2 linked regions of the Lonchura striata genome follow. The protein of the gene in region 1 interacts with the protein of each later gene in a biochemical or structural test. Links are inferred from orthologs where the notes say so. Each region holds a gene or a part of one and is shown on either strand. Other genes may lie near its edges.

Evidence for each region.
Region 2: the proteins of TNKS2 (region 1) and LNPEP form a complex in vitro, tested with the Homo sapiens proteins (4 studies listed by BioGRID and IntAct, with this or other methods). The link is inferred for Lonchura striata from reciprocal best matches to the Homo sapiens genes TNKS2 and LNPEP.

The regions. Positions count from the first base shown.
Region 1 is NC_134609.1:16,484,376-16,500,824, forward strand, and holds the start of TNKS2 (poly [ADP-ribose] polymerase tankyrase-2), read left to right. Parts: upstream 1-10,307; coding exon 10,308-10,512; intron 10,513-15,563; coding exon 15,564-15,788; intron 15,789-16,449. UniProt on the Homo sapiens protein: Poly-ADP-ribosyltransferase involved in various processes such as Wnt signaling pathway, telomere length and vesicle trafficking.
Region 2 is NC_134642.1:2,735,545-2,751,596, reverse strand, and holds the start of LNPEP (leucyl-cystinyl aminopeptidase), read left to right. Parts: upstream 1-7,950; 5' UTR 7,951-8,073; coding exon 8,074-8,092; intron 8,093-13,509; exon of another isoform or gene 13,510-13,681; intron 13,682-16,052. UniProt on the Homo sapiens protein: Release of an N-terminal amino acid, cleaves before cysteine, leucine as well as other amino acids. Degrades peptide hormones such as oxytocin, vasopressin and angiotensin III, and plays a role in maintaining homeostasis during pregnancy.

The sequences.
Region 1 (16,449 bases):
AGAAGGAGCATTGCCAGTTCATGTTGGTCCTTTTTTTCCATCACAAATGTCAAAATTTAAATGTAAAATGTACGAAAAAGGTCCAAGCAAAAATAATTTAGATACATTGTCTAAATAGGAAGGGCAATTTTAAGTCTTCATAAATTCTGTATTTTCACTGCAGGTGTTTTGTAGGCACATTTGAGTTTATCTGAACATCATTACTCTGATAGAAATTCAGTCTTGGGTGTTATTTTGAAAAAAATCTTTTAGTGTCTTTGAGCAGTGCTAAGCACAAGGCCTCTAATTCAGATGAGATGCTGGCCACTGCCCTCCCTTTGCTCTGTTTCCTTCACCTTGTACCTCAAGTGATGCAGCACAAAATTTAGGAAAAGATGACAGCTAAAATGACACGTGACATTTTAAGAAGCACGTTTTCCTGACATCCCATTTCTCCTCCTACTTATTTTTTTTTTTATCCCTGCAGTTAGAGGAGCTGTGCTAGTCACGAGTGTCTAACAGTTCAGTGTGCCAGTCTTGGGGCTCACATATCTGCAAAACAAACTTTCCACAGTGGAAAACTCATGCCTGCACTGGGGCAAAGCAGGTTACTGGAGGCAATATAATAGGGACTCAGTGTATCATTCTTGCCCAGAGGACACAAGGGAAAGGGATCAGATTCATCCTTGCCTCCTCCCACTTGCAGCTAACAGAAAACAGTCAAGATTTTTTCCAGTGAGTCTTTCTAAGAAATGTAGGATCATGTCAGGTGTTTGCTGAAGACAGAGCAGAACTTGAGATGAACTCCTTTGTCCTGAAAAATGACTAAGAGCAGCCCTGTTTTCAGTTGCAGCTGAGGCAGCTTCTAAGGTGCACAGCCTGTGAGCTCCAAAGTGGAGCCTCACAGAATCAGTGAATTAGTCTTACCATATGCTAACACACCAGGTGCAAAAACAAGGTTAATGTGTCAGTGGGTCTGCTGCAAACACGTGCCAATTTGGTAGCACAAATGCACAACTATTCACATGTATTTTAAAGGAAAGGTTCTACTCCCTATTCAGAAGCAATTTAAAAATAGGAGAGTGTTAGTTTCACACTGATAAACTTGGAGGACTGACATAAGATAATAAAAGGTACATAGCAAAGGAAAAGAACATTCAAATAAATCCCTGCAGGTCACTGAAGCCCTGCTTTGAATTCCTTCCAAATTTAGCCTGGAGTGTCCATGCCCATGTCAAGTTGTTTCTGTACACAGCACAACATAACTGTCCAAGCTATGCTTCATACAGAAAACCAAATCCCACTATCTCTTTCATATTTTTTTATCTTAATCACCCGATAACTTAAAACCTCCCAATACCTGACAGAAAATTTTCTAGTTAAGAAGCTGTTTAGAGATCCCTGAATTGAAAGACAGAATGTGAAGTAAGCACCAATCAAGGTACCAAGGAACTATGGAAGATCTTCTCAGTGACTAGTCCCTGGAAAGGCTGTTACTGTTTGGGGCTTTTTTTTTGTAAGCATAACTTTTTCTTACAAGAGAAGGAATATAATTTTTCCTATTACATAGACACAAAGTGCAGATAATTGTCAGTCGCTGGTGAAAATATTTCCCCCTCACCTCCCAAAATTAAAAAAAAATTCATAGACTTTTTTATGCGGAGTTTTTTTCTTGTTTGGGATTCTTGGTTAACATTTCTGTAAATAGTTCCATTTAGTAATTGTAAGTGTTTTGCAAAACAACAGGGTACAAAATATCCTGTGTGCAGCATTACAATTTAATTTGTTAGTCATATTTCTAATGCAGTTTTTTAGCATAACAGAAGTCCCATTTTGGCCTAAAAATTCAAGGTCTTCTATTGATTTTAAATTTTTGGTTTGAAACTTTTTGACACATAATTCATATTATTATGTTTATGGTGATATTATCACATTATTGTGTTTATAGTGATTTCTCTTCATTCAACTTCTTTTTCCCTAAACAATGGACAGAAGGCAGGGTTTCCAAATGGCACCATGTTGTAAGATTTATAAAGGATGCTTGGCATCAGAATTAAAAAGACTATCAGACTTTGCCATTACTCCCAGTAACCACATACCCAGCTGCTTTGCACAATTCCTCTGGATATAGACACAGAGGGGCTATATTAAGCCTTGTCACAGTATGAATTTGGAACCTCTGTCCAAAGAGTATAATGTCACCTAAGCTTTCACATTTGTGCTGGGAACAGCTAGAGCAGAAGCAGGAGTTTAAACTAGGACACTGGCAGTTTGCCTGAAGAAAAATCAAACTGCCAATAAATCTTCTGTGTAAAGTATTTGGACAAAGTGTAGCTTAGAAATTAAAAGGAATCAGTAACTAGGCAATTTCAAAATACAAACACACAGTCTTGGATTCCCTGATTCTTTTTCAAGAAAAAGTATATTTCCAAAGCAAGTCAGTAACTAAAGGTTAAATCTGATTCCTCTAGCTGCTTTCCTAAAGGAGGAGCTTCAGTGCTGTGCCAAGCTGACTTCTGTCCATACATACAGATCTGAGTCTTGAGCAACTCTGTGAGCTTGGCCTGTGTGTGAGCATAGCTTGAATTTCATCCTTTCTGATCAGACTAATAATAATAGCAAGGCTATTACTACTCCATTCTGCCAACAGAACTATTTAGGTAGTTTTAGTGTCACTTTGCAGAACATCTGCTTTTACTTCACTCCTTTTTCATTCTGGAATTAACTCTTACCATACCTACAGTTAACTCTTCTACCATCCCAACTGGGTAATTACCTCAATAAAAAATACAAGATAGCTGTAGAAATGCTGTTTTGCAAGAAGTGCAAAGTAGTGCACACTTCACATAACAGTGTTGAACTCCCTGCCCATCGTCCATCCATCCTCCTGTCTCACCAGTTCCTTGCAGCCTGCAGCCTTAGTGGCCCTGTGCAGTGTAAGCCACCAGCTCACACCATATCTTAACCCAAGCTTCCAAGTCAGCATCTGCTGGACAAGGATGTTGCTTTAGAGAGTGGTCTCAGGGTGGCCATTAATGCATAATTTAGATTTCACCATATGGTTTCCCATAGCTTTTTTGAACAATGTAAGGTAGCATGAATACTTGTTTCATTTCTTACTATACTGAAGCATGATGTTCTGATTTCTGCTTCTTCTCTTCGGGGATTTATTAAATATTCCTTTTTAGAATGTTATGAGCTCAGCATCAAAGTACATTATAAATCTGTCCAGAAATAAATAACACAGTGCTGAGGAATGTTAGCTAAGGGAATCTATAGTAGATTTATTTCTTTTTCTCCCACTCTTCTGCCAGTGCAGAAGCAAAGCCTTCAGATTCTTCTCCTATCCTAAAGGGACTGGCAGTTGACCAGCTTAATTAGCAAAGCTCGCTATGTAAGTCAACATGACTACTCCAAATATTCCAAAACTTTGCTAGACAGAACTAGGCCACGTGGGAAAAAAGTAACTAATTCAGCTCTTAGCCAAGGTGGGCTACACCTACAGGACTCTTTGAGATCTCTGCTAAAAGCAGACCAGTTCTCCCCCACAATATGGTATTACTGTGCTGTTAGATGCAAAAGACAGTTTCTGATTCACACTCTCTATAGGTAAATCCAACTTCCCAGAACTTCCCTCTCTGTGTTACCTGAGTAGATGCCAAGTGAGAATTGCTCAGAAATGTACAATTTTATCTTATTCCAAGTTTGTTTTGCTACAAGCTCTTTTGGCTAAATTGGAGGATTCCCACTTCCTCCTGATTTTTCCTTACTGTGACTTCTCTGTCTCGGATAAAATGAACACAGGCATTTATCAGTTGTTGTGGTAAATCGGCACCAAGTCCTCTCAGATCTTTGCTACAGCACCGACTGCTTTTGGATCTCTCAATGTAGCCATAAAAAGGGAAACTGATATTCCTAATAGTATCATCAAATACTGTTAGTGTAATGTGCCTGAATGGAGAAGAAAACCCTTGAGCCATTTGTGCATGCACTCTTATCAGTTCTACAGTGCTCTACACCCTTCTGAATGCACAGCTGACTTTGCTGGTTGTGTCAAACTGACTCAAATGATCATTTGTTTGCCTACCATTTAAGATTCCTAGTAACTAGCATGCATTCCATATATTTTTTTTTCCAGGAATACTATTTCTCTTGGATCAAATACAAATTAGGCCAACTTGTATCCAGTGTTTATCTGTTGCAGATGACTTCTGTTTACAAGCTAAGAGGGCCACAAGAACATCTGGCTCCTATCATCTAGAGTGCAAGGGCTATTCTGGTCCACACTGAATAGTTTCAATGCAAGGACAGTATTGAGGAAGACAGCAGTAGCTCTGCTCCATGAGCTGTCCAGACAGCAGAGAAAGGATCATCAGTGAAATTGTTTCTGAAGAAAACCTCTTAGTTAGTAACCTAATGTCAAAAATGCTATTTTGCTGTTAGATCTTGATTTTTGTGCACACATATTGTGTGCAGAGATAACATTTCAAATGTCTTTAAAGTTTTAAGATCTTCATCATGCCCACTTCTCCACACCAGTCTAACCTTCTATTCAGCCATTCGGTTTCCAGTTTGAAGTTGTTCAAGTCATGAGGCAGATCTGGAAGTAAAATAGGTTCCCACTGGACATTTTCTGGGCAAGTGAGGTAGGAGACTCAGTTTGGTATTTCTCATCTTGAAGACCAAAGGGCCTGGCCAGATGAGGCAAAGAATTTAAAAGGAAAGAGAGAAGGATGACCATTCATGCTCCTGGAATCATTCCAGAGAAATAGAATCTAAGATATATTTAGTAATCTTGCTGTTGAAATAAAATCTTGTGTAACTCCACCTTAGCAGCAATATTTAGCATTTATGTAATCATATAAAGTAAAAATGACCTACTTTTTAATTATAAAGAAACATATTCAGTAACCTCTAAAATATAAAAAGGAAAATTCTCTATTTCCCAAATAGATAGATCTTCATTATACAGCATTATCCTATACACTAAAAAGTATTGCCATTTAAAGAGGAATTTATCAGGTATTAGGCATTGGCTGTACTGGCCAAATACCACATATCGAGCTAAATAATCACATTCCCAGGTGAAATTTAGCACCTTTTACTATTTTTAGGCAGTCAGAATACATCACTGTGTACCCATGCTTTGAGAGTCACCATAAGACCACATTTCAACAATCAAAGCATGTTTGATAAAAGAAGAAAATCAGTAATTTTCTAGACTGAATGGCAAAATTATCTTCCATGGATAAATAAAGACATAAATTATTGCTATAAGGCTTCATATAAACTATATAGAAGAAATCTTAGTTGTTTATAATAATTAGAGCATTTTAAAAGATCACAGAACTAATCCTAGAATAAAATGCCTGAATAAAGTGCTTAAAATTTTCTCTCTCTTGCTAAAAAATAAAAAAAAAATCCAGAGAAAGGCTGTGTATACACATAAATGAATGGTATGTTTGAACATGTTTCCTACTTTCTGTTATTCAGTTAAAAATCTGTATAAATATATTCTTCACAGTCAGTCTTAGGAATTTAATGTTTTAATGTCTGACTTCAATATCACTGTAATGGCATTCCTTCTATTCATCACAATTGCTCTTCTGAATCACTGCCATGGACTACTTTTCAGCAGGAGCTTTCCATTAGAAATACTGAAACTCACTGGACTTGACAACTATTGCTTCATGGTGAAACTATAAAAACTTCTTAAACTAAGTAACTTTTTCTTAGGCTGAAATCAAGAATAGCCTCATATTCCTATTTTTTACCCTGGACTGTGGAACTAGCTGTTCCAAGAAGCCATCACTTGAATTGTTGGGAAATTGCCTCTCAAAGATCTGGCCTGAAATAACAACTTGACAATCTATGTGCAACTATTTGGAGTGGTACACTACTACTTCCTTAAAAAACACTACATTTAGTTTCTTTGCTTTCCTTCACACTGCCTGCTCTGGATGGTATTTACATACTATGGGCAACCAATTTAGGTATCCAAATTAAAAGTATAGGTTTTTTATGCCATCAGTGGAAAGGGGAACAGTGCTTCAGAGGGCAATTAAAAGTAAAACACTGAGAAACCTGCCTGCTTTGGCAATTTCTTGGAGGACCTGGACGCTTCTGTTAAAGGCCCAGGACAGATTGTGAAGATGTCTGAATCTCCACAGAGCCTTTTGTATTTTTTTACATTTAATTGGGACAGAAAATAAATACTGAAATTTGTTAATAAAATGTCACTTGAATTGCAATTTAAATGCATGGAGAGTCTTCCGCTATTTGTTGGTTGCTCATTCTAAATATTCTCCCTTAGGATGATTTTTCAAGCAAATTGCTCTTTCCCTATTACTATCTCAGTCAGTTCTACACAGATTTTAACCTAATTAGCCCACACTTTTTCTTCTTTTGGTTGGCTTCAGAAAAATGAATTTCATGGCTGGACAGATATTCTGGTTTGCCTTCACTTGCTTTTAGCATTTTCATATTATTATACCTATTGAAGGTACAGATTAATCTGTTTTGCTGGCCTCCCCAGTCAATGCTGATCTTTGGCCTGACTGCTCCTCTGCTGTTTGTGGTTTCTTCCCAATAAAAAGTAACAACTTCCCAGGCCTCTGCCATGTTCTCCTGCTGGCATCCTGTGTAATTCTGCTTTGCATGCAAGGAGCCTACACTTTTAAAAAAGCTCTCTGTCATCCCAGAATGTTCCAGGCACTATAGAAAAACATACAAGAGCTCCATTTAAGCCCTCTGGACATGTTTCTGTCTAGCAATTTTTGACAGAAAACTGGAACAATTTTAAACAAATCACAGGCATCCTGGCTTTTCTTTTCTGTGTAATCTAGTTTCCATGAACTCTTAGACACTTATCTGTGCTGCTGATGTCCAGAATGCAAGCTTCTCCCTAGCACTTAAACGAATCTTCTCTAACTTCTGCCCCCACAGCTGGTCATGAAGCTGCTGAACAATTATCTTGGTTACTGCATAAACAGGTACAGGATTTTGATAACTTAATGGCCTACCATTACAGCTTGTGAACAACTGACAGGGTATCCCAATCTCCTATAGGGACCACGTGGCTTTGTGCTTGCTCCTCTCTGAAAAGCTCAGTCTCTCAACATTTCACCATCTCCATGTCTCCTTTCTTTCTTTTTAATCCATTTGTTATTCCAGAACAACATTTTATAATTATTACACTTTAGCCCCAGCTGCTGGTAAAATAAAGGAGGTACATATAAAACACCAATAACTACACATGGGTAACTGGCAGAGAAAAAGAACCAGTTCCTGCTTGTTCAAGAGACATAGCCAAAGTAATTGATGGATAAAATAAGAAGAGGAATGGAGAAAGTTTCTTTAAAGATCCAGTATTACACATATTTACTGATGTACAGCCTGTACTGCTTTGAGTTTGCAGTGAGCCTGTATTTCATAAATTGATATTTTCATTTTGAAAAAGAAGCTTTCACTGAGAAAGTTGCTATTTATATATATAAAAATATAGTAATAAAACAACAGATCAAAATAAATATAAATAAGTAACCAAAACAAACCCTTTTCTTCATAGAATATTTTATTATTTCTTGATGTACACATTCATTATCCCTGGTTTGGGCTTTTTTTCCAAGTCTCATCTGGAAATGTTTCAAATGGAATAAATTTTAAATTATTCTCCTTTTGGAATAAGCTACATTTCTGAACTCTTGAAATGTTCTATTTATTCCAGAATTTTACTTTGCTTCCAAGAGCAAGGCAAAGAACTTCAGGGAACAATTAGAAAGAACTGGAAAATCCTCATAACATGAAGGGCTGACAGCCAAAAATCCTAAATCTGATGGACTGCCTTGCAGATTGGCATGAACAATGTCTCTCCCCATAAGTAAACCTTAATCTCCTAAGCAGAAAGGAAAATAATTTATTTTTAAGGCTGCTGTAGTCTTTCCATGCCCAACAATCCCTCTTTTTCTTTCTTTTTCTATATCTTTCTCAATTTTTTTCTTTTTCCTTTTTTGACCCCGTCATTTTTTTCTATTTTTTTTCCTTCCTTTTTATCTCCTTTCCTTTCCTGCCCCCTAGTGACCAACTAAGCATGTTCCTAAACAAACTGAGCACTCTTCCAAAATACTTCTGAAAGGAATAACAGTGAAATGTTTCTGAGCTGTTCATGCCTGAGCCTCTCAGGCTGTGTTAGTAACAGGTGGGTTACAAACCTCCTGCTGCCTCTAGAAAAGTCCCTACCACATGTATTGGGTGGGATTTGGCATATATTTCAGATATGGTTTCCTAACCATGCTATTGTACAGAAGAACAAAAATACTGGATTTTGCAGATTATTTTCTCATAACATAAATAAATTACATTAAAAAGGAGAGGTGTTTTTATGTTGAATCTCAAAAATCACTATGAAGGCTATTAATAACTAGTCCTAAAATATGCTGAGAATCTTTGCTTCCTTGAATTCAAAGCTAATTGAATCCTGCTCTTACAGTGTAATTTTTCAAAGTTGTTTCCATTCATAAAGACCTGCTGTAGTTTCACACTCAAGCTATAATGAAGACATGCTGGAAAAGGAAATCAGGCTGCAAATAATTTAGAATAATAGTACCTTTTGGGTATAGTGGTGTGGAGAGAAATGTAGAATTTATTTCAGGCGGTGCTCTTTATAATCGTGCTCCAGCAGAACAGTGAAATATTGTTCTGGATTTCAAATTACTGAGAAGACCTGAGGAGCAGGATGTGTTTGGATTTACACAGGTACTTGCACTTCCACACACTTCTAGATACAAAGTCCCTTCTTTAATTTTAAAATGAAAGTAGTCAAGTTAGTGCACTTGCTACTTCTGCTGTGGGCCCAGAGAAGGGTTTATGAACTCAAAAGCTTGTATAGCTTTCCAAACATGTTAATGGTGACAATAAAAGATACAAATGGCAGCATTTCAGGTCCTGTTTTCAGTCTGTGGTGCCTGCAGGCAGGAAGGGAAGCTCTCATCATGCAGACTTTGGAGAAGTTGGGAAGGTCTGAGAGGCCCTATGAGCCACAGTTGATGACAGTTTATGCAGGAACATTATGGCCCCATGCAAAGCAGTGGATGAATTATGTATGTGTGGGACTCTGGCTATTCCCTGCCTGCTGAGCACAGCTTGGAATTTCAATGGAGGCACAGAGAAAAGCCAGTGGGATTACAGGAAACACGCATGACCAAGGCATCACATTTGTCAGTGCATGTGGTTTGTGCCCTGTGCTGGCTGCATTCTTCTGTCACACTGCTGTGGCTATGTGTAAATTACCAAACTGAACAGGACACAGACACAAGCATCAGACCTTGATCTGTCACTAGAGCATGGTGACAGCCTGGTATAGCTTGTAGTCTCCCACAAAAAATTCCTGGGTGCAGTTTAGGCATTAGCATGGACCAGGGAGAGAAAATTTGGATGTAATTGCCTTGTTTCAGGGACAGGGATGTTTGACAGAATGGAAGACTGTGCAAATGTGCTAGATCCTTTGCCTTGCACTTAAGTAATTTAATTTCCTAATGTGACAGCAGCCTGAAAGTTGAATTGAGTTTGGAGGTACTCATCTCTGCATTTGCAACAGGAAGCTACTGACCCTATTCAACTACCTTTTCCAAAGTGTTTTAATATGGTGTGAATAAAAAAACACATTTCAGAATTATCAACTGAATTCTCTTCTAGTCAGTCCCATCTGGGCTCAGGCTTCCCCCACCAAGCCAGTGAGGTTTATTGCGGGGCTGCGGGGAGAGAGAGGACAATTTCTGTTCTCTTCCAAAACCTTGAACTGGCAAAGTCAACTAACAGGTTTTTTAATATCTGTTTTTCGACATTAATAAAGAGAACTATGCTATTTATGTTGTATAATTTCCATTACATAGTTATTTTGCAAGCACTGAACTTCCTCGGAGTCACAGTATTTTCCTATATAAGCAACTGTGCAAGGATCATGAAGCCATTGGCACCCAAATGCAGTCTTCCACACTTTGCGGGGGGGGGGCGGAAATCCCTGAACAGAAACCCCTACATTTAATTACTGAACACAGCAAAGGCACATTTGTTCTTCTGGGGCGGATCGCTAGTGCTGTACTTTGTTGTGCCCCTCACGGCCCCCGCCAAGGGGGCCGGTTACGCGGGCCGTGTGGGCGCCGTCCCGCTGTGGGCCGCAGCCCCGCCGCCGCCGCTGGGCGGCTCCCGCGGCGCGCGCCTGCGCACGAGCGCGGCGGTGCCCGGATCCCTCCGCCGGGCGCAGCGCCCGCCCGGGAGCGCGTGCGGAGCCCCGCGCGGGGCGGCGGGGGCTGCGCGGGCCCGGCCCGGCCATGGCGGCGCGGAGGTGCGCGGGCGGCGCGGCCGCCCTGGCCGAGGCGCCGGGCTGCGGCGCGGCGGCGGCAGAGCCGGCCCGGGAGCTGTTCGAGGCCTGCAGGAACGGGGACGTGGAGCGGGTCAAGCGGCTGGTCCGGCCCGAGAACGTGAACAGCCGGGACACGGCGGGCAGGAAGTCCAGCCCGCTGCACTTCGCCGCAGGTACGGGGGCAGGGGGAGCCGGGGGGCGGCGTCGCTTGCCCGGGGCGCTGGGCCGGGCCGGGCCGCTCGGGCCTCGCCGCTCGGGCCGGGTGCAGCGCCGGGTCCGAGCGCTCCGCCGGCCCCTGAGCATCGCGCCCGGCCCCGGGACCGAGCCCGTCTCACCCACGCGGAGGGGTCGCCGAGCGGTACAGCTGTTCCCTCCTTTGCTTTTTCTTCCCCCCCCCCCCCCCCTTTTTTTAAAAAACCAAATCTCATCTGGCTTTGAGGACACATCTGGAGTGGGGTTTATGCTGTTCGTGTTGTGACACGTGAGCTCTGACAGGGACACTTGTCCCACGTACAGTTCTCATGGATTTCAGCGGGCCTGTGCATTTTTAGAATTGAACGCATGAAGGAGTTCGTCAGATAACACCGTTTCTAAGCTTTTTGCGTTCTTATCTTTGACAAATGGACTTTGTTAATTCAGGACGTAAGCAAACAATTGACGTCACAGGACAACTGCTTTCACTGGCAATTGGCCAGAAGATTGTATCCCACCTTTTCAGACAAAGACCCGACTGTGACTGTTGTTTCCATGTTGGTTGTTTGGTTTAATTACAGCCGTAGATGTTGGACTCTAAGGCTGACAGTCTGCAGAAAACAACAGCTTCTTTTCAGCTAATCAATATGGATAATAACAAAGATGTTTGTTTCATTATTAGATTGTCTTGGTAAAGGTTTCTGCTTCGGGTGTCCTTTCCTCATGTTAAAAGAGCTTGACTCAGGCTTAAGAGGTCTAAGTTCTTGAAAGCCTCCTCAGAACAGCAGTATTTCATAAATTCAAGAAGCCTAATCGGCAAGAGAGCTCAGGAGACAAAATATCCTGTCAGAGGAAAACAGTTTTTGTGGCTGTTTTTTTATATGCATCAATCCTACCTGCCCACTGAACTTCTAAACAACTGTGTATGTTTTAGAGCATTTTGGAGAAATGAGGGGTTGTTTTTATTTATTTATTAGTTTTGGTTTTATTTATTTATTATGTTAGTTTTGGGGTTTTTTTGGCCTAAGATGTTTCTCATTCACTGTAATGATCTAGTTTATCTCTCTGAATAGGGGTGATCTGTCTTGACTTTATATAACTCCTGATAGGCAGAAAGATTTTTCTTTAAAAAATGCACAGCCATAAGTTCATGTAGTTGTTAGATTTCTAAAGTTAGGCAGGTTGGTGTGTAAATGGGAGACACTGCTGTCATGCACATGTCACCATGACTTGGTACAGAGAAATTAATTGTTCTTCTCAGGGGCCTGTAGGAGATGCTGAGGGTTTCTGGCTAAGATGGGACAGAAAACACTTGTGTGATTTCTTCATGGAACTCTATTTACTGCCTCAGGTCGAGCTCTGCTGTTGTCAGCCCACCTGCAGTAGGCTCTGTTTGAAAGGTGGACATAAGTCGCTCTTGGACTTGGGCCTGACTGGTTTTGTTTGGTTTTGCCTTTCCCCTATTATTCACCGTTGGAATAATACTCACTTCTTTTGTCTGTGCCTCTGAAGGAGTCACATTCCAGGAAGTAAAAGCAAAAATCTGATGTATTCCTGCTTTGTTTTTAAGTGTTCTTAGAAAATGCATTACAAAACTTCTCTGACTAGTTTCATTCAGTTGCAAGACTTCTTTTATGGAGGAGCTGGAGCTGAAATACACCATGTCACCATGTTTTTTATTGCTCTTTTTTTCTTTTTACTTGACACTCTGGATCTGAACCTCGGTTATATTTTTTAAGACTTTTCCCAGATCTTACCTAACAATTAAGAAAAAAATTCCTCTTTTTCCATGTGTGTGTTTGTAAAGGTGGATTTTGAAGTAAAAGGTGTAAAAAAAATCTTCAAGCTCTCCCTAGAAATGTGTCATTATCAGAAGTAATACATGTTGGAATTTTGCTGGAGCTTGCTCTTTGGATTTTGTAGTACACAACTGTGTGTGGTAGTTAAGTTATCCTGAAGGTTAAGTCAAGGGCCCACCACCCTTCACAATAAAAGAGGCTCCATCCTCTCCCCTCATAAACTTCATGTATTTCCTCAAGTCAATCTTTTTCATCACAGTGTGTGTCAAAGTCAGAAGTTTTTAAGGACTTGGCAGGTACCAAAATGCCCCTCTTGCAATCTAAATTTCATTAAAAATATGAACACCCAGGGTAGGGGAGAAGCATTTGAGCTAAGTTCTTTCTGTTAGCTTGTTATCCCATCAGAAGTAGCTGGATGTCAATTATGATCCACAGTGACTGTAAATAAATACCTTTTTAAAATTATACACACTTGTACATTTCTACTGTGATTAATAATAGCAAATTGTCGGCTGAAAATTTGTAACTTTCCAGGGAACAAGTGCAGTGAGCTGCTCAACTATTACAGGTGGGAGAAGAGTGTCAGCTCAAGGTCCTGAGTAGCCAGCCTTTCTTGTTGGCAATAAAAAACAAAGAGTTCATGATGATAAGACCATTACGTTGCAGTTGAAATGTGTAATCCCATTTAGGTGGTCTCTTGATAAAAGCACAAGAGCTAAAGAAAACACCTACCTCTTAAAAATTACAATGTTGGGTTTTTTTAAAGTGTTTAAACAGTTTTTACTACAGCCAGCTACTGGTAAAGAGGAACTGTTTGAGTAGGCAGTGACTGCCTTCCCGTGACAGCAAAGGCTGCCCCTGCTTTCCACTCCCAGGAAGAACAGCAGAGGCAGAGACCATTGTGCAGTTTGGCCACTTCCTCTGCACTCATGCATCCTTTAGAAAGTAATGGGAAAATAATTCCCCTTCCATATATGGTGCCCTGTTGTACAGTTGCTTCCCCAAGGAAGTAAGGAATCCCTGCTGTGCACTCAGTGCTGGAGAGAAGTTACAAAAATTGGTGTGATACAAATGAATTAATTTCATTACATTAAATTAGATACAGAGGTGTTGCTGTACTGAAGGTGCTTTCTGAATAGAGGCAGGCTTTGCTGAGGGAGGAGCTGTGGATTGCTCATGAATTGTGTCTGATTGACCTCTGTATTAAATAGAGGGAATTATCTATGCCTATAATAAGGTTTACTACAGCTGATTTTCAATTGTGATGTTGATTCCTGATGAGGAATTTTACTTGTAAAAAAGTGGCTTTACATCAATACTTTGAGGGATAGGAGTGTCTTCAGTACAAGAATGAGTGGTTTAGCTACCAGATATGTAACAAAGAATTTGGTCAGAGTCTTTCCTAACATAATTGTAGCAGTCCTGGAGAACATTTTTTGGTACTCAGAAGAAAATACCAAGCAGTCTGTCATGAAATAACAGTTTTGATTATGTATTTGCAGGACTCTGGCACATGTGAAGGTCTCTTTTGAGTAGTTTCTCAAAGTAATTTAGTACGTTTTGAGTATATAGTCAAACTATAAACAGAATTTGTTGAAAGCTTGAAGAAACAAAAAGAATATCAGGCCATATTTAAGAAAAATAACAGTATTTATAATACTTTGAATAGCTGAACATATTTAAGACTGAGAAACATGATACACATAATGTAATATAGACAATAAGCTTGCATAGGTATAGCTACTAATATTTTTTTTTGGCAGCAGAAATATGCTTGCATGTGCAGTGAATATGACTTACTGTGCCTGTGCAGATAAATTGGTTTTGCATGGACCATGTGTCTGATCCAGTTCTCATCCCAAGTATGCTGAGCTTCTGTTCTCTGTTAGAACAGGCAAGGTGGGTAAGTGGCATCGTGAGACTCAAAAGTGAATTTTTTGTAGGGTCTGTGGTTCTATCATAGGCAAGGTGCTAATAAGCTAAGATTTGTATCATCAGTATTGTATTTTGAAGAAATACATCACCAGTGTTTTGAGGAGGCACATCACCAGTATAGCCTTGTGACTGTTACTCGAAAACACCTTGAAGTTCATGCTGTGATTCAAAAGTTTGACATAAAATGATTGTTACAATAATGACAAATCTGTGGTGAATGTGGCTCCTTACCTGACTTCTGAGGGAAGAAGAGTAAAGTGAGAATTTAACTAAAGTATTCCTGAATACTTGTCCAGGCCTCTCTCTCTGATATATGCAGCTTGTCTACAAGACCTTCTCTTAGCAAGTGGGATCCGGAAATTGCTTAATAATGGCAATGGGTTTTTTGGGAGCTCCAGGTGGTGAAAGTGCTTCTTGCTTCAGAAGAGGGATTTACTGAAGTCAGGTTTAGTGAAGAGCATGGTATGAAAAAGTTCAGTCACAACTAAGCTAAGACTAAAAGTTCAGTTATAACTGAAATGCTGACACTTGTATGCTTTGGTGACTTTGTCACTGAAATGCTGTGTTGTTATCAGGAATATACATCATTTCTAGGTCATGGTTGCAAGGACTTAAACCTACCACGGACATTCTATGGGTGATCTGTAGCAAAGTTTAAATTCACTGCAATCTGAATATCAGTGGTGTTGGCAACTTCATGGTTATTGCCTCAGAGGGGCAAGCTCAAGACTTCATCCAGGTCTTGATCTGTTCAGGAAAAGAGTTTATAACTGAGATATTTAAAGGAAGGCACATGAGTTATTTCCCAGAAGGTACTTGGCAGAAGACTGATACATACTAAAATATGGCTCTTACCTGCCCTAATAATTGCTGAGACCCACAGAGACATTCATGGAACCTTAAAGGTGGCCTTTGGAACATAACCAGATGGGTATAATGGCTACAAGCAGAAATCCTAAAGCATTCTGGTCTCATGTAGTAAAGCAAATATAGATACAGTTTGATGTCCTAGTTCATTTGCATACTTATATAAGTATGCAAGATACAGCTGAAATTCGAGGGAACCCTATCAAGATAGGGTTGTTTCTGTAATCTTTAATATTCCTTTTCCACTAATCTAATTTTAAGAGTTTGATAAACATCCTTAGTATGCAAATGGTTCTTTAGTAAACCATGCCACTTGTGATTGTCTTTAGGAGTGGTTACTGTTACTGTAGTTTGTTGGTTTAATCTGCACTTCTGGGGCAGGAATTTCTCTTACCCCGCTCTGAAGCCTTTTCTCCCTTTTCCCCTTCCAGGTTTTGGTCGGAAGGATGTAGTTGAATATTTACTTCAAAGTGGTGCCAATGTCCACGCACGAGATGATGGAGGCCTTATTCCTCTTCACAACGCCTGCTCTTTTGGCCATGCTGAAGTTGTCAATTTGCTCTTGCGGCACGGTGCAGATCCTAATGCTCGAGATAATTGGAATTACACTCCCCTTCATGAAGCTGCCATTAAGGGAAAGACAGATGTCTGCATTGGTAATTTTCTCCCACTCTTCCTGTGACTGACTCACTTGTTTTCACTGTGAAAAATCAAGAACCCTTTTAAGACTATTTTAACTCTATGGAGCTATGGCTGAAACAAGGGTTAAAAGTAAACATCTTTCAGAAACTTCAATTGATATGTCACTGTTACAAGATACAGGTTTTTGGATATTTTTTTATAATTGTCTACCTATAAAGATTCATCATGGTGAAGGTGCTCTAAAGTGACATGATGGAGCTAAATTCTCTTCTGTTTCAGCCTAGGTTTTATGCTGCCTTTTTCTTCTGATCACAGTGCAGTGGGAAGAACAAAAGTGATCTTAATAACTGATTCATTCTATCTTATGTGTAGCAGCTGTGTTAAATTAGTTAAGGATGGGAAAACTTCAATTATATTGACTACCTGTTTTACTTACACAGTTCTTAAGAGGAGCTCTTTAAAGAAGAGGTAGAAGGTTAGACATATAGTCAAGAAACATTTCTTGATTGTGTCGTTTGCTGTCATTTACTTTAAGAGAGCTGTAAAGCTCTCGAGAGCTGTACAGATAACATTGCCTGTTCAGCCTGAGTGCAACATGCATAGCCTGCCACTGCTATCTGCAGGTTAGGAGAGCACAGGATTTGGGACAGCATGCTATGGAGCTGATGGAAAATA
Region 2 (16,052 bases), on another chromosome or scaffold:
AGCTATGCTGGAGACATGTTATTGAATCATAGTGGTGATGATTCTGTACTTCCATAGAAATGATCTGAGTGAGAACTGAGCATATTCTTTAAACAAGTGTTTTATTCCCATCATTTCATTTTCAGGAAAGAGCAATTTTTTCACTCCCTCATACCAGTCAATGGGAAAGCTAGTCATCAGTGTGGAAATTAGGGAGTTAAATCATTAGCTTTCATAATTAATTGTAACAGTACTGAGGGTCAATGGAGCTACGTCAGTCTACCCATTCATATCAACAGTGTGGCCTGTTAACACTATAGTATACACACAATCTTGAGAACTGGGGTCTATCTAATAAATTTTCAAAAATTTGTGTATTTAAAGTATTGCATAAAGAAATAAAAGTAGACAGGACTAGTTAACCCTGAGTCCATAGGCAGACATTTAATATTATTTTTTTCTTAAATAAGTTATGTCCTATTTCAACCTTCTGAGTTTTTTTCTTCTCTGCGACACTATTTAGTTATATTGTATGACTCAGACTCAAAGGAACTACTACAGTTCCTTTAAGAAACGTGTCAAGAAAACAAAGGGAGCACCAACCACTTTATAGGAGCATGAGAACTTCAGTTAAATCCCCTCAGGAAAGTGAACTACAAAATTAATTGTTTTTTTAGTTCAAGGGCTTGTCAATACTTGAAAAGTATTCCAGAAAAAATGTCATTCAGTACTATGTCTTACACCCAGAAACAGTTTTGTACATTAATGGTGCTTTCATTCATTACTGGTAATTATTCCCTGCATTTGGAGCCAGAAGTGGGAGGATTACAAATTTCTAATTCCATATCAAGTTTTGCTAACTGATAGTGGTACCTGTCCTGTAAATTATGTTGTTTTTCAGCTATTTGGATTGTGTATTGGGGCACATCTATATAATCTACTGGGTCAAAGTTAGCCTGACCAAATGGCCAGTTTTTTTTAAATTAATGTTTTGGTACACCACCTAGAACTACCTTTCCCATCTGCCATCAGCTGCAAATTTCACGTGCCTGTGTGTGCGAGATCATATTTCTTACCCATGAGGATTCACGCCATTATTTTGTGACTCAGACTGCATTTACTTTCTCTGCAGACATCTTGTAAACATATTCTAATAAGAAGAATCACATGAAATTAGTATTTTCTAATGTGGTTGTGGATAAAATCTATGAACAGACATTTTTCAAAGGACAGACATAGACTATAATTTTAATATCAGCAACAATTCTATAACTAATTTTTCACAATAGCACATAACTACCATCAAGCAGCAGCACAAAGGCCCCATTAAGTTCAATCTACTGCTTAGAACGGATAACAGGAATAAAAAGAGGCTAAAGGCATTAAGATGTAAGCATTATTAGCATTAGCATTCAGCATTAAAGTATTACCATTTAAGCATTATTCCTTAAAAGAAAGAAAATAAAAGGATTGTATTAATACCTGAAATTGTTTTCAATTTTTATTTAAAAACTTAGTAGAGTAATTACAATGTTTGATCAGAAGCAAGGATATGTCTCTTCAACACAGTGTTACCAAGTCATTTGCTACCTGCCTTTCTCAAAGATTTGTTCTTGAAGAAACACTGCCAACATGGGGATAGACTTTCAGTGAAATAAATACACCACTGAAAAATTCACCACAGGCAAATGGAAAGAACTCTAGTTTCTGAATATATATTGAATTAAAGCTCAAACACCACTGGCCAGACTTTATGCTTTCTTGTCTTGAGATGCTGTAAGTTAGAGTACCGTGGTTTAATAGATGCCACAGACATGTGCACCTTGTTTAGTGTTTAGTATGTTCTCTCTCCTTTAACATATGCTGACTGAAGGCTGTATTTTTGTTGCAAGTAAAAGCTCTACAGTTAACTAAATAATTTAAGACTATGAGAGAACACCACTAAAGTATACTATTTTGCTACAGAAGTATTTGTCAGGCTGGTTTTGCACAATTTCCTTTTATAATCTTTTAGTGGGTGCAAGGGGTTTTGCCCTCATTGCCCTGTGCAAATAGAATCAAACTAGGGGTGTCGACACTGAGCACTTCAGAGAGGTGTATATATATGGATGTTTTACACCTACCATTCCACTACACCTTGTGCTTACTTCTGCTTTATGGAAGACTGAGAACACATCAACCAGGTTAGTACCTTACAGTAGGCATGTTCACCAAACTAAGTGTATCAGGAGCAAAGTTACTTTTGACTCATATTTCTCATATTCAATACTTGCCTGATTCACATCACTTAACTTTGTAGTACTAGACAAAGATTGACAAATACATTAATAAAAATACACAAAGTTTTTTTCACTGCATCCAATAAGTGGCTGACAATTTCAGGTCATAGCTCTTTGGCAGCTTTACAGTTTGAAAGGAGAAAGTAACACTATTCAGTTGCTTAATGGAGTACTTCAGAGATGAGCAGTGAGCATGGATGACTTCTTAAATTCCAGTGTTATTCTGGCTATAAAAGAATTAGATATTATGCTTGTATCTTATTTATTAATCATCCTGTTTATATCTTATTCATTAAGCATAGTAATTGAAGCTCTCAAAATCAGAACCATTGTTGCTTTACTACTGTTGCTTTACTAATCACTTAGTGTCGATTCCAAGAAGTAAGTCTTGTCAGTCCTAAATGCTTTGAAAATGCTCAGTGTGCATTTATTCTGGGCAGACTTCCTACTTTATTAAACTTCTGTTTTAGTGAATTAATTTACTACCTTTTTTTCTCAGTACTTAAGAATGGTTATTTTCAATGCTATATAGCTTCAGTTTATGGTGGATAAGAGAGACTGCTTCCTGAGCTGAGCTGACAATGCAATCACTGAAAAGAGAGACAAACATAGGGATAATCTATGGATCATGTGAAGAACAGAACCCTAAGGGGCAGACTGGCACAGACAGTTTATTACTGGAAGCAGAGGAGAATTCTGAGCTGAGGTTGCTTAGCTGCATGTTTATGAGCCCTCCTGTTGCTATTGTTATCCAGATACTTTGCAGATTCTGATAAAACTCTGTAACCCAAAATTAAATTATCCACTATTTTGGTGAACTAGTTTTCTGCCAGATTAGGCAGCTGAAAAGTTGAAATCAGCCTGTAGAGGAATATAACAAGCATTAGAGTTGGTGTAAGGTGCACAGTGAAACGTGAAGCAAGAACAGAGCAGGGAAAAGCAGCAATTTTACAAAGTGGCAAGCTGTTAGATATGACTAAATCATCACACTTAACTGTATCCTAATTTATTCTGCGGAAAAAGCAACTTTTGAATCACGCCCATAGCATTCCAGCCACAAAAATTGACAAATTACTTCTGTGCTACCTGGTGGATATACTTATAGTACATGATAGTTTCTAGCTAGTACATGTTTTTTTAAAGAAATGAAACAATAGACACAGGTCTTTAGAACTGAGATACAAACATGCTAGCAATATTCCAAGACTAAGAGAAAAATACACTGGATTAATTTTAGGACCTGAAAGTTCTAACAATAGCTTATTTATTTTTATAACTTAAACAAAATCAGCAAAGAAAGAAAAGCATTTATGGTGGAGTGACTATGACTCTTCCTTACAATAGCTTGGGGTTTTTTATCTGTAATGTAGCATTGTAATCTTTCCAAAGGCTCCTGTGCCACAGGTGTTTATTTCTACAATAAAATGGGACTGCATCTTGGGCTAGGCACTATGTCAAAGCTTTGTTCTAGGCCACAAAGAAAAAAGAGCTTTCTGGATTCTAAGAAAGTACACAGTGGTCTTAATGTTTCTGAAAGAGACACGGCAAGAGGCAAGGTAAGTGTGTGAATTTAACCAGACTCTATTAAAAAGAGGAACATGTATCTCGGAGGTATTGCTGAAAGGTAGGTTGTAAGACAACACAAAGCAGATAGAAGTGACACTTCTGAGGAAGCAGCTGCTTCTCCTAGCAAGAATCTGCAGTGAACTAAGATATGTGAAAACAACCATGCCTCATTTAGCTCCACTATTCACAAAATTATTTTCTTTAATTATTGAACTGGTTACCCCTGTAGAAATAGATAGATACATAGATAATGATATTTATTTTGCAAACATGATGCTATGGATTGCTTGGGACAGTACTCTGTGCAAAAAGTGGTTGCAAGTGGTTGTAATTTGTGCTGATAGGGGATGAGGATGTCAGATATGTTCAGAGTGGTGAGTGGTGTGCGCACCAAAGAAGCAATTTTGGTTTTAAATAGAAAAATACATAATCAGGAAGAAATTAACATATTGATTAGCAGTATTAACCATTTAGTCAATGAATAAAAGAACTTCCCTATTCCTAATCTCTCAGCTCAAGCTTTAAGCACAAGTATTTGTTCGGACAATTTTTTCATCTTCTTTTAAGGTTGTCAGACAAATGATTCACTAGTTCCACACCTGAGTCTGGGCAACTTCTGACATGTTTTAGCAAGACTGATGAACCCTTGCCTTCCAGCCCCTGGAGGCATGGCAGTTTCTCAGCTACAAAGCTTTACTGTGTGTTGTTGCTTCTTACGTGCAGATCCGGTTGAAAACAATTGAAAACTTTCCACTGGGTCAAAAGAACCCAAGTGTCTACTGACACTTGTACTGTTCATGAAATCTTCATTATGAAAAAAATAAACTGGAAAAAGACAGCCTGAGTCATGTTTCCAGGTGTCTAAAAGCTGGAAGATCTAAAGCATTCTTTAGAGATGGCTTGTCTTCAAAGTTAAAAAAGGTGCAGGGTTGCTGGCAAACATATTTTAACCATGAAAAGGACTTAATTAGACATTGTTGAATGGAAGCTGCCAAATTAAGGCCTAATACAGGTTATTGCAGATGCTCTAAGGATATATTTATGGCTTTGAGCAATTACAGAATTGATTTATTTATCCTGCATCTTAAAAAAAAAAAAAAGAGCGAAATAATTGTGGCAATAGTTGACTTAGAATCTGAAAAAAAAGAAATAATTTAAAGTCCTTCACTCCTACAAATTACTCATAAGCTATAACTAAAATCTGTATATATTTTATAATGGAAAGGACCTGTAACTTTTAGACACTTTTTAAAAAATCGTAATGTAGAAACTCTAGCTTTTTACCAACACTAGCAAAGATGGACCTTCACATCCATTAATTTTTTTCCTAAATGATGTTATACAAAACTACGGCAAAACCCTTATTCTTCTACTATAGTACAAACAGTGCTACTGTGAAATGAGCTCTATACCTGACTTACTCTGTATGACTAATTCCCACTGTGTTATCTTAAAACTTGATGTTAATGAAAAATCTGGATATGGAAATCTCTGCACATGTAATAGAACATGATCTTATTTTAGCTTTTTAGCTTCCCAAAGATGTATTATACTAATTAAGGATTTTTGATTGGCAGAAATGAAGAATGGTGAAAGCGTGTGATGAGGTGCTCAAAAAACACCATTCAGGCCTCTCTGCATGTCACTGTGTAGAATCCCAGCAAAGTTAGCTGCATAGATACTGTTTCTCCAGTATATTTAAATATAGGCCAGACAGGGTTCGTGTTTTGAAAAGAAAGCTCTAGAGACCTGTCATCCTATTAAAATAAATTATTTGGTGATTTCATAATTTAAATAAGTTTTTCTTTTGACAATGGGCTGTTGTGATATGTTAAGGGATGTCTGAGAATATGTAAATGGTTATTAAAACTCACTTAGCTCTGTGCCAACATTAAGGCCAGTGTTAAACTCCAAGGATGTAGTGTGAAAGATGACTTTGACCTAGATTGTGCTACAAGGTTGTCACCATAACTAAGTCTGTGAAACATGATCATCAAGTGTGAAAAAGTGCACTTCTAGGTTTGTGAATCACAGAGAAGAGGAAAAGGACTGCGCTAGCAGCTGGGTTCTTGTGGGCCCCTAGCCCTAGTCCCTTCTTTACTCAAGAAACAATTAACCTCTTTTTAAAAATTATTTTTAAATAAATATGGGACATTTAATTTGTGTTAATTGGAAGTAATCAATTTCCATTTTCTCCTTTCCCAAAAATCAGTGTTTAAAAATTTCCTGTTTTAAGAAAAAAGCTTAACCAGTCAGGTAATAGTAGGATCAGAGCTGCAAGGGAGCAGGGGGCAGGTAAGTCAGTAAGGAGGCACACATATATTGAACACATATCATTTATATATGTTCTTTTTGCAGGTTAAGTATAGATGGCCTGGCCACTTTGATCCACGTCAGGAAAATTTTATCCCAAATTGATGGCATGTGACATATCACACCATGATTCCTTTGCCATCTCTACATGCAATCCCTCCCTAATGCCAAGAGGATTGCAGTGGCTTTAGGTTCACAGTGTTCACCTTCAATTTTATGGCTCTTTTTTGATGTTCAGTCATAATCACAAGCTTTTGTCTCTCATGTCCCATCTCCTCTGGGGGTACAGGGGGTGGCAGCAAGTATTACTGTCACCTATCAACACTTAATTATAGGTAGTAAAACACATTGCAATAAAGACAGTAGTACAAGATGCTATGTAGTTATCAAGTATTACACAGATTACGATGTTACAATGCAATGTGCTTTACCAGCAAACATGTACAAAATGTCCACAGAAGTAAAAAGTGCCCTGAAAACCATGGGAAGTCCTCTCCTTAAGCTGGAGAGACCCAGGGCCTTCGAAAGTTCACAGCTGCCACGATGCCACTTCCCACATGTGTCAAGCAGAAAACCCATAAATACAATATTTGCAGCATTTTTGAGTTCCTGAATTTGTTTTTGAAGCTGTTTTTACTGCTCTACTTTTCCCACAGCAGCCACTTCTAATGATGTTTCAACACTTCCATATTTTATGGTGACATCCACCGTGGATGCCTGGTTCTCTTTCACAAAAACCAGGTCCATTTTGTAAAATTATTTTATACAAATATAATAATTCATTGTTTTGATCTTCTGTGTTTGGTTCCTGGAACACTATCCAGTCTTTCTTTGTGGCATCATTTGGCCACATTGAACACAATTGGTTCTGCGTTTTGATTCTTGTGCCTTGCACAGCAGAACACTACCTGGATGATAAGGGGATTATTTATTTAAATAAAAAGTGTTATGTGTAGTAGATATAATTCGTGCCGTTTCTAGTATGATATATGTGATATTTAATATTTGGAGTATACACGTTTGTATTAGAAGTCCCCCTCCCACCCTCACAGGCAAAACTTGGTGTTATGTTGAAACCCGATTTTTAAATAAAAGGATGTGGCTCAGCCAAGAGATGGGCCATGTCTGGAGGGATACGGGGACATCATCGCGTGAACGACCCGAGATGGATATCATGGAAATCCTCGGGCAAATACATGTGAATGCAGTGTTCAGTAAATTTCATCAAGGGATTCAACAACTCCGTATACTGAATTGTTCTTCCTCGTAACCAAAAAAGAAAATCTTATTAACCTATGGACTCTGAATGGAAGAAAAGACTGACTGCTGAAATCTTGGCCTCAGGCGGAATTTTCCCTATAAAAACTGCTTGTGCCAGGATGGAGGTGTGTGGGCATAGAGAAAAACCTCTGCTGAGGCTGACCTCTTTGTTGCACACCCAGGGCCGACCCCGGGCTCGGTGCTGCTCTAGACAGAATTTGATTGCAAAATAAATATTTTATTTTTTCATTTTAATTCGGCTGGACAAATTTTCATTTATAACAAACGCGCGGTTAAACTGCGACGGCAGGCGCGCGGCAGGGAGCTGCAGGCAAAGCCGGCCCGGCAGCATCCCCGCCGCCGCGGCCCGGGCCCGGTGCCGCCGCCGTGTCCGCCCGGTGCCGCGGCTCGCTGCCGCCGGTCCCGAGCCCGCCCGCCATCCCCGGCGTGAGGCGGGCCCGTGCGGCGAGGAGGCGGCGCCGCGGGCCCGGCAGACGAGGAGGAAGCGAGCGCGGAGGCGGCGGGGGGTGGCCGGGGCCGCCTCGCCGGAAAGCTCCGGAGCAGCTCGGGAGCCGCGGGCAGGGGGCACGGAGTGAGCCCGTCCCGGGAGCATGCGGCGGCAGGAGGAGGAGTGAGGAGCCGCGGCAGCGCCTCCGCGGAGAGCTGCGGGAGGAAGATGGAGCCCTTTCCCAGCGGTGAGTGCCAGCGGTGCGGGACGGGGCCGCGGGGCCTCGCGGCGGAGGAGCTGCGTGCCCACAGGAAAAGCGAGAGCCTTCGTCGTCTTGCTGCCCCCGCAGTCCGCGGCTTGAAAATTGTCTGAGGTTAATTAGGGCTAGCTGGCTGGCAGGCAGAGGTGAGAGGAGCTCCCTCGCTTTCTCGGCGCTGTTGCGCTTCTCGCTGCCCGGCTCGCCGAGGCCCGTGTACGCCAGGTGTAAAGTCGCCCTGCGTGGCCCCGCTGCAGGAGCCTTGTAGGTGTCTGCAGTTCCAAAGCCGTCATAATTCTGATGGGAAGTAGGAACCAGACCCGCTGCTCGTGGCGTTTTCCTGACCGGGGCATTATACCCCCCGCCTCCCCACCCCACCCCGAGCGAAAGGAGAAATAAAATACAGAAGTGTCAGCGGTGTACGAAATAAGTGTTTTCAGGGTGTTCATGAAAGCCAGAAAGCTTTCAGAGCTGCCCGTGCATTGACAGAAGTGCTTGAAATACCGAGGTGGTTGCATATGCTTAGAGATAAGCTGGCATCGTGATACAGCCGTGTGTGTGTGCATCCTTGGCTTGTGCCTGAAATAAGCCATGAAAAGTCCGTGTTGCTTCTGCCTCTACTAATAGAATTCTGCAGAGAAGGAAATGAAGTTCTCAGATCAAAGTGAAACTGAAGCGTGTTTGGTTAGATTCACGACCATGGCCAAATATGGAATTAGACAGTGGGTAAAACAACAGCCTTCCGGCTGAAAACGCAGCACTTTTGTTACAGGTGGGATTTGGTCTGTTGAATGACAAGCATGTTGGATAGCCATTGCTAAAATACCAGGTAGAGTTTGCTGTGTCGTATTTTGACTACACACAGTGATCTGCCAAGTCAGAGGCAGGTTTTTTTCTGTATTTAGGTCTTTTCTGTATTTATGTCAATTTTTTAAAATGTCAAATCCATTAAAAAAACCCCCCATACACTAAAAAATAAATTTTCTGTCTCATGGCAAGGGGATTGCCACTGGATGATCTTTAAGGTTCCATCTAATCCATTCTATAGTTCTATAAACCATGTTATGAATCTATAAATATATCCTCATTGCCATGCATTTCCCTGTTCTCAAGCACATGAAATATCTCCTATGATTTGATGCTGCTGTTTAGAATCTTAAAGAAACTGAAGGTCATGAGCTCTGGGCATATTTTGGTGGCATAGCTAGCAGGAGAGACTTTTTCCCTCTTTTTTTTTCCCCCCTCTTTGTATTGTCATGCTAAAATTACAGTTTGTACAAGCAGTTGATGTTTTGGCTCTCTAGATAATCCTGGCCTGAGTAAAAGGTCTTTCAACTACGGCCTATTTCAGTCACAGGGTTGTATTCTGCATTCGTGTATGCATTGTAGAAAGAGCTTGTGTTTAAGAGTAATGCAGTTTGGGGGAGAATTTTATTTTGAAGTCATCTTGCTAAGGCCATTCCTTTTGAAAGAGATGAAATGTTTTAAAGGCCTGTTTGACATAATGCTATTCCTGCACTGCGTAACAAAACATTTCAAAAATGCTGCTCCATGCAACTGGAAGAAATGGACCTGTGTGCCTTAGCCTGTAGCTTAAGGTACCAAGAAGCAATATTCATGCACTAAGCTTCCTGATTTTGTTTCCTGAAATGAAAACCCTGCAGATGGTGGTAAGACTGGAAGAAAATTTGCTGCTGAAATTGGTCAGTAAGTTTCCTCCTGAAAGCTGGCTCTGCTGGAATGGACACCACAGAGAATCTGCGAATATTAGAGCAAAAATGTTGCTCCTTAATTCTGATGCTCTCGAGGCATGTTTGGTGCTCAATGGCAGCTGCAAAAATCTGAAGTGAAGAGGGTGCTTACATTATTGGCTTTTTGAATAGAATTTTCATTTTCATGCCTGGTGGTCTGGAACCTGTGGGCATAATATTTTTTCAGATAAACTGTGTTTTTGTTTTGTCTTACACAATACTTATGAGTTCTGTTTGTGAGTCTATGTTGACTTCCTGTGCAAAGTGCTGTTTAAATTCAGAAGAAAGCATGCCTATCACAGGAAGCTTACATTATTTTACTTGTAGATCACTCAGTTCTTTGGGGTTTTTACCCTTGTAAAACATGGGGAGGAGGGAACAGACTGGATCTGAAGATTTTGCAAAAGCATTTTAGTTGGATTCAATACCCTGATGCCCACTGGGCAAACTATCAGTGAGGCAATTTCTTTTTTTTCTTTATGGAAGTTGAGCTGTGTCAGAATGGGTGTGTATCTTAAAATAGACTTTTAAGGCAGCAAATGCACTAAAGTGGATATAAATTCCAGCTTTTCTTGTTCAGTATTTGGTTGGAATTTTTTTTCTTAAATAAAGGGAAAAAACACAGCCCTAATGCATTTGAAAAGTGAAAGAAATCCTTATTATCCTTTCTTTAAAATCCTAGTGGGTATGCTGAACTCATTACTGTTTGAAGAGCTTCTCCAGTGAAAATGCTCTAATAAATTTAATTTTTTTTTAATTTCTTCTCTCATCCCTGTACTGTAAATTTAGTTTTGAAGCTCTTTGACAAGATCTAGGCTGTGTCTTCCTCCTTGCCTAGGAATTTAGGTGGAGATGATGTATGAGGTCTCTAGCTCTGGAAGAACAGTTAATTGCATATTTATTTTTAGCGCCTGGAATAGTTGAGTTAATCATAGAATATCTCAAGTTGAAAGGGAACTATAAGGATTGTTAAGTCCAGCTCCCTGATGCTCTCAGGACTACCTAAAACTAAACCATATAACTAAGAGGGGCATATAGAAATTCTGCGATCTCTGGCAGGCTTGATGCCATAACCACATCTCTGTTCCAGTGACCAACCACCTTCTCATTGAAGAATATTTTCCTGATGTCCCATCTGCAGTTCTTGAAAGTTATGAGTGCTACAAAGTAGTAAATGTTCTAGAAATGGTTATTGGTAGGATTTTTTTTTTTGAGATTGATTCCTCTATTTTGCTTGACTGTTCTTAATTTGAGATTTTTCCCTGAGAATGAATAATCAAAGTTTGATTAAAAGTTCATGGAAGTCTTCCTTATAATTGTTGCACATAATCTTTTCCCCCTAAATTGTATGGTCTCCCATTCCTTTGAATTCTGCTCTGAATCAATGGGCAGAATTTATTTATTTTGACTAGTCATTTGTTACCTAAACAGTTTCAATAAAATTTAAAGAAAGAAAACAAACAAACAAAAAAACCCCAAAGAACAACAACAAACAAACAACAAAAAAAAACAACAACCAAAAAACCTGAAAGAAGTGAAATACAGATTAAAGGGAATACGTAATGTAATGTTGGACATCAGTACAAATTATTTTGCTAGTATTTAGCTTATTTTTAGATTGTATGTGTTTCTGAAAGGTCATTTAATAATTTCCTATTTAATACATTAAATATGTCACTTCTCTACTTGACACAGAAAAAAGAGATAGAAGTGAGCTATTACAGAGATTTTCATTTAAGACCGGTGACATGCATGAACTTGAAACTGTAGATGGGATAACTTGAAAGGATCTGAAGTGCAAGTAACACTCACTTTCACTAACATTCCTGAGTTATTTTTATCCTTTTCATACACAACACATATAATCTTTGATATTAATTACATGACTAAATTGGTGAACAAAATAAAGACTGTCATGGATAGAAGTGAGGGGTTTTTGGAAAGTACAAATAAACCAAGTTAGGTAATGTTCTTGACAAAATTAAAATGTCATTTGCAAAGTATAGTTATTTCAGGTAGTTCCTGTCAATTCTAAAATGTTTTTGTTCTTCGTGTTAATTTTGTTCAGTACAGAAGTATATTGGAGATTGCAGGAGCATGTTCTTGTGTGCATAGCTTTAATTCTATTTGGGACAGCAGGCAATGCCTTGACTGCCAATGTTTTACAATGTTGTGCTATGGAGCAGAAGGGTTCCTTAAACTGTTACTCAGTCCTTCCTAAACAACAGACTGAGTGGTTGTTTTTTTTTTGTGGTTTTTTTTTTGTTTTGTTTTTTTTTTTTTTTTTTTGTATAGTAGTAGATGGAAAACATCAAAGAGGTCTGTTTTTAATGTCTTTTTTTTCTGTCCTGTGTTTTGCCTCTTCCATCAGTTATTACTGGAAAAAAATACTTACTTGATCTGTTCCCGAGTGTGAGTTCTACGTTGTCCAAGCACATTGTGCTGGGTCATAGTTTTCAACAAGGCCATGTTGTAGTATCTGTGCTTGTGTTCCTGTGTCAGCTCAGCTGAACAGGAACCTTTTTTTCAATGTATTGGGTATGTGTTTGATTTTACTGCTTTGCTGTGAACTCCCTGCCATGCAATGGATGTTCAGAAGGGGAATTCAGTAACTTAAAGAATGTCTGAAGATGAGAGTGTAGGTGCTCACTATTGATCATTTGTTAGTGTTTTTCCACTAAGCAGTTGGTCTTCACTTGCAGAATGAAACTGTGGAGTATCTGTGTGTTTACTTCATAAGTAAAAAATGATGAAAGCTAACCTCAGTATCTGCCTGTAAAAGTGTTCCATGATTGTCTTCTCATCTTTTTTGGGAAGATGATGTAAAGTTGAGCAAACATGTTTCACATTGCCAGGGCTGTGTGAATGTGTGCTACACAAAGCCCTGGAACGACTGCCATAGAAAAATAGTAGAAACAAATAAAAGCAAGGATAAAACCACCTCTGTTTGTTTCACTAGTCAGAATACTTTTTTCATATTAGACAGGCATTGGTGTAACAATTACATACAAAGAAGCTGAATTTATCTTTATTTAATGCATCCTCTGATTAAAGCAGTGCTGAAACTCAAGTTTCTCATATTTTACTCAGTGATGTAAGAAAGTTCAGTGAATTTACAGTTCTCCTGCACAATTTTTTTTTCATTAAGGATGAAAGGAAGGATTGTGTAGCAGAGCAGAAACATTAAGTTTTCTTTATGATTGGGAGCAGTGTTATTCTTTTGTCTGTCAGAGAAATATATGCATGGCAACTGCTGCTTAGACTTCTGTCCAGGAGTATCTTAAAATAAGATCATATTAACTTCTAAAATAAACCAGAATCTTGTGTGGTCTGGGTTTTAATTGCCTCAATTAAAGAGTACATATAATACCTTCTGAAGTTGTGTTTTGATTACTTGTGATACTGCTTGAAATAGTGGAAGTACATTAACCTTTAATAATCACAAAAAGATTGTGTGCCTTCTTGCCCATAGAAAGGTGGATACTCCTGAAGGATATTTGGAGTAAGGAGGGGAGGGAAGATGCCTGGAAAACTCATCTGGCTGATCACAGAGACGGGAATTTCAGGGTAATACGGCGTGTTGGGTTCTGCGCAGTTTGTGTCCCTAGGGCACAGCTGACACTTCAGTGCTTCATGAGTGTTGTCTTAAAATAGATGTTCAAGGAAGACCTCAGAGCCCAGCTCTTCTCCTGGATTATTCAGGGCGTGCAGTAGTCTATTGAAGCAGAGGTCTTCTTTACTACATCAGGTGGAGAGTGAAGAAGTGGAATCCTGATTCCACTGAACCACGAGATGCTTTTAATCAGCTGTTTGTTCGTGTGGAAATAAGGTGAGTTTTGATTTTGGGATTTGTTTTTTTATTGCAGTCAAAACTCTCACTAAGATGTTTGGAGGAGTGTTTCGTAACTAAGCATAACTGTGTGCAGAGAGCTTCCCCTTGGTTGTAATTGCTCTGACATTGAAGGAATATATTTTGTTAAGTGGAGTTCTTGTGTAAAAATACTTCTACCACAGTGCCATTGGCTTTTATGGAGAATTGATTGTGTTCAAAACTAAGAATGTGCCTAATTCACCCTAATTCACCTACTATTTTAGGGCCTAATAGTGATTTTTATTTAAGCCTTTCTTTTGTATAGAAACTGACATTAGTAGAACCACATTTACTGGTTTTCATGCATGAAAAACAAAAGTTCTGGACTTCAGCAAGACTTGTGTTAGTGGGAGACCAAAATGCTTTGGTATGCTTTAGAGGCCTCATACTTCTGACTTGTAAACCATTATAAGAGAACAACAAGCAGTAGGTTTTTAGAAAGTGGGCCTGTGAAAACAACATGTATAAACTGTCAGTTGCTGTCAAAACCTGTGCTTTTTATCATTGATGGAGATATTAATGATGCTTTAGTGTCTCTTTTGGAACAAATGAATGATCAAAAGTGTCTTGTTATATTATGAGACTGAAAAAAATGCAGATAGATGTATTTTTGCTCTGTTAAGATGATATAAAACTTACCCTGTCAGGAGTCATAGGCAGTAACCTCTAGACATTGTTGTGCCTTGCTTTCTGTGAACTGAGCTACCAGTTAGGGAGCAGTGAACACGTAATGTGTGCTTGCGACCTGTTTGGTATGGTTTGAGTTGTCATGTGGGTATTCAGTAACTGTAGTAAGCCAGAAGGCATATTGGGTTGCCTCTGTGGGGAGTGAGTGTTCAAGACAGGAGGATATGATTCCATTAATTTATTGCTAAAAGCAAACATGAGAACGAAAAGATTCAGCAAGCATCAGTTTGTATATAGTACGTCAGGTTCTATACCTGTTAGATGTTTCAGAAAACTCTCAAAAAAAATTTTTTTTTCAGAACAACTGGAACCAGCAGAGAGATGTTTTGTATCCTCAGCTATGATGAACCTAGTGTTTATCAGACATGAAATTAATGGACAGGTGTTGTGAAGAGGATAGTCAGCAGTTCTGAATGTGGGAGTTGAGTAACTCAAGCAATCTGACACACAACTTCCTGTGTGTCTCTTCAGATTCAGGACCTTTTCGTTAGAACCCCTGTGGTTAAACATTTTATGTGATTTTAATTGCAAAACATGCCTTTGGTAAGACCAGAAGCAGGAAACTAAAACAACCATATTTTATAATTAAAGCCAGAAGCTTCTTTCCTGTACGTTTTTTGTTCAGCCAGTGGCTGTGGGTTGAACACTGCCTCAACCTTGTGGAAGGTTTTCCTTCTCAGTAGTAGCCAAAGAGGAAAGTGTCATTTAAAACTATTTCCTCTTTCCTTCCCTCCATTTCCCCTGCATTTTCTTATAGCAAACCTAACTGGTACCAGATGTAAACATGAAAATATATGGTTAAATGTGAACAGATGTGATATATATCTGTTGGATATCAAAATCCAGACTAACCTTGGTTTGGCTAGCTTTAAATTCTCCTCTTATTTCCTCTTAGGTCCCAATAAAAAATTATGACAAAAATAAGTTACAATTTTTTGCCAGTTGTATAGGTGGAGTATTCAGTAAATGATATACTCACTTTTTACCCTTCTATGATATTTTCTTTTTGTTGATAACAAAGAAGTGAAGATTTGAAAAGAAGTCTCCATAGTAGCCTGACTGTTTACAGTTAAATCTAACTGGTAAACGGTGAAACGTAATTGATCCATGTAGTTATTCAACCTGGGGTTCTGACAAAGAAAATGCAATGGTACTTTGGTTAAAAATCAGGAAGAGACTTTCAGAGAACCTTTTAGAAGCACCCAAGACTAATAAACACTGACTTCCTTGAAATTACACTCCACGCTCATGTTTCTTATGGCAACTTCAGATAAGAGGTGGTCTTAAAATACATAATCACATTGTTTTAATTTCCATTATACAGTAAATTAGCAGGGTTTTGTTCCAGTCTATGTGCAGAAGCTTGTCATTACAGTATTTATTTCACACACTCTTTCCAGTGGTTTGCTTTGTTTTTGTTAGCTGAGTAAAGGTTAAAACTGTTTCCATGCTGCAGATAGATGCAGGTTTGAAATTACACGAATGACATTGTGTACTGTCCTGCTTTAGTAAGAGTAAATAATTTTCCATGTAGAATTGAATTGTTTTCTTGCTCAGAAGGAAGTTAAAATGTATGGAATGATTAAGGAGACATGGTAGAGAAGAGGAATGATTAGGGAGACACGGTAGAGAAGAAGGAAAT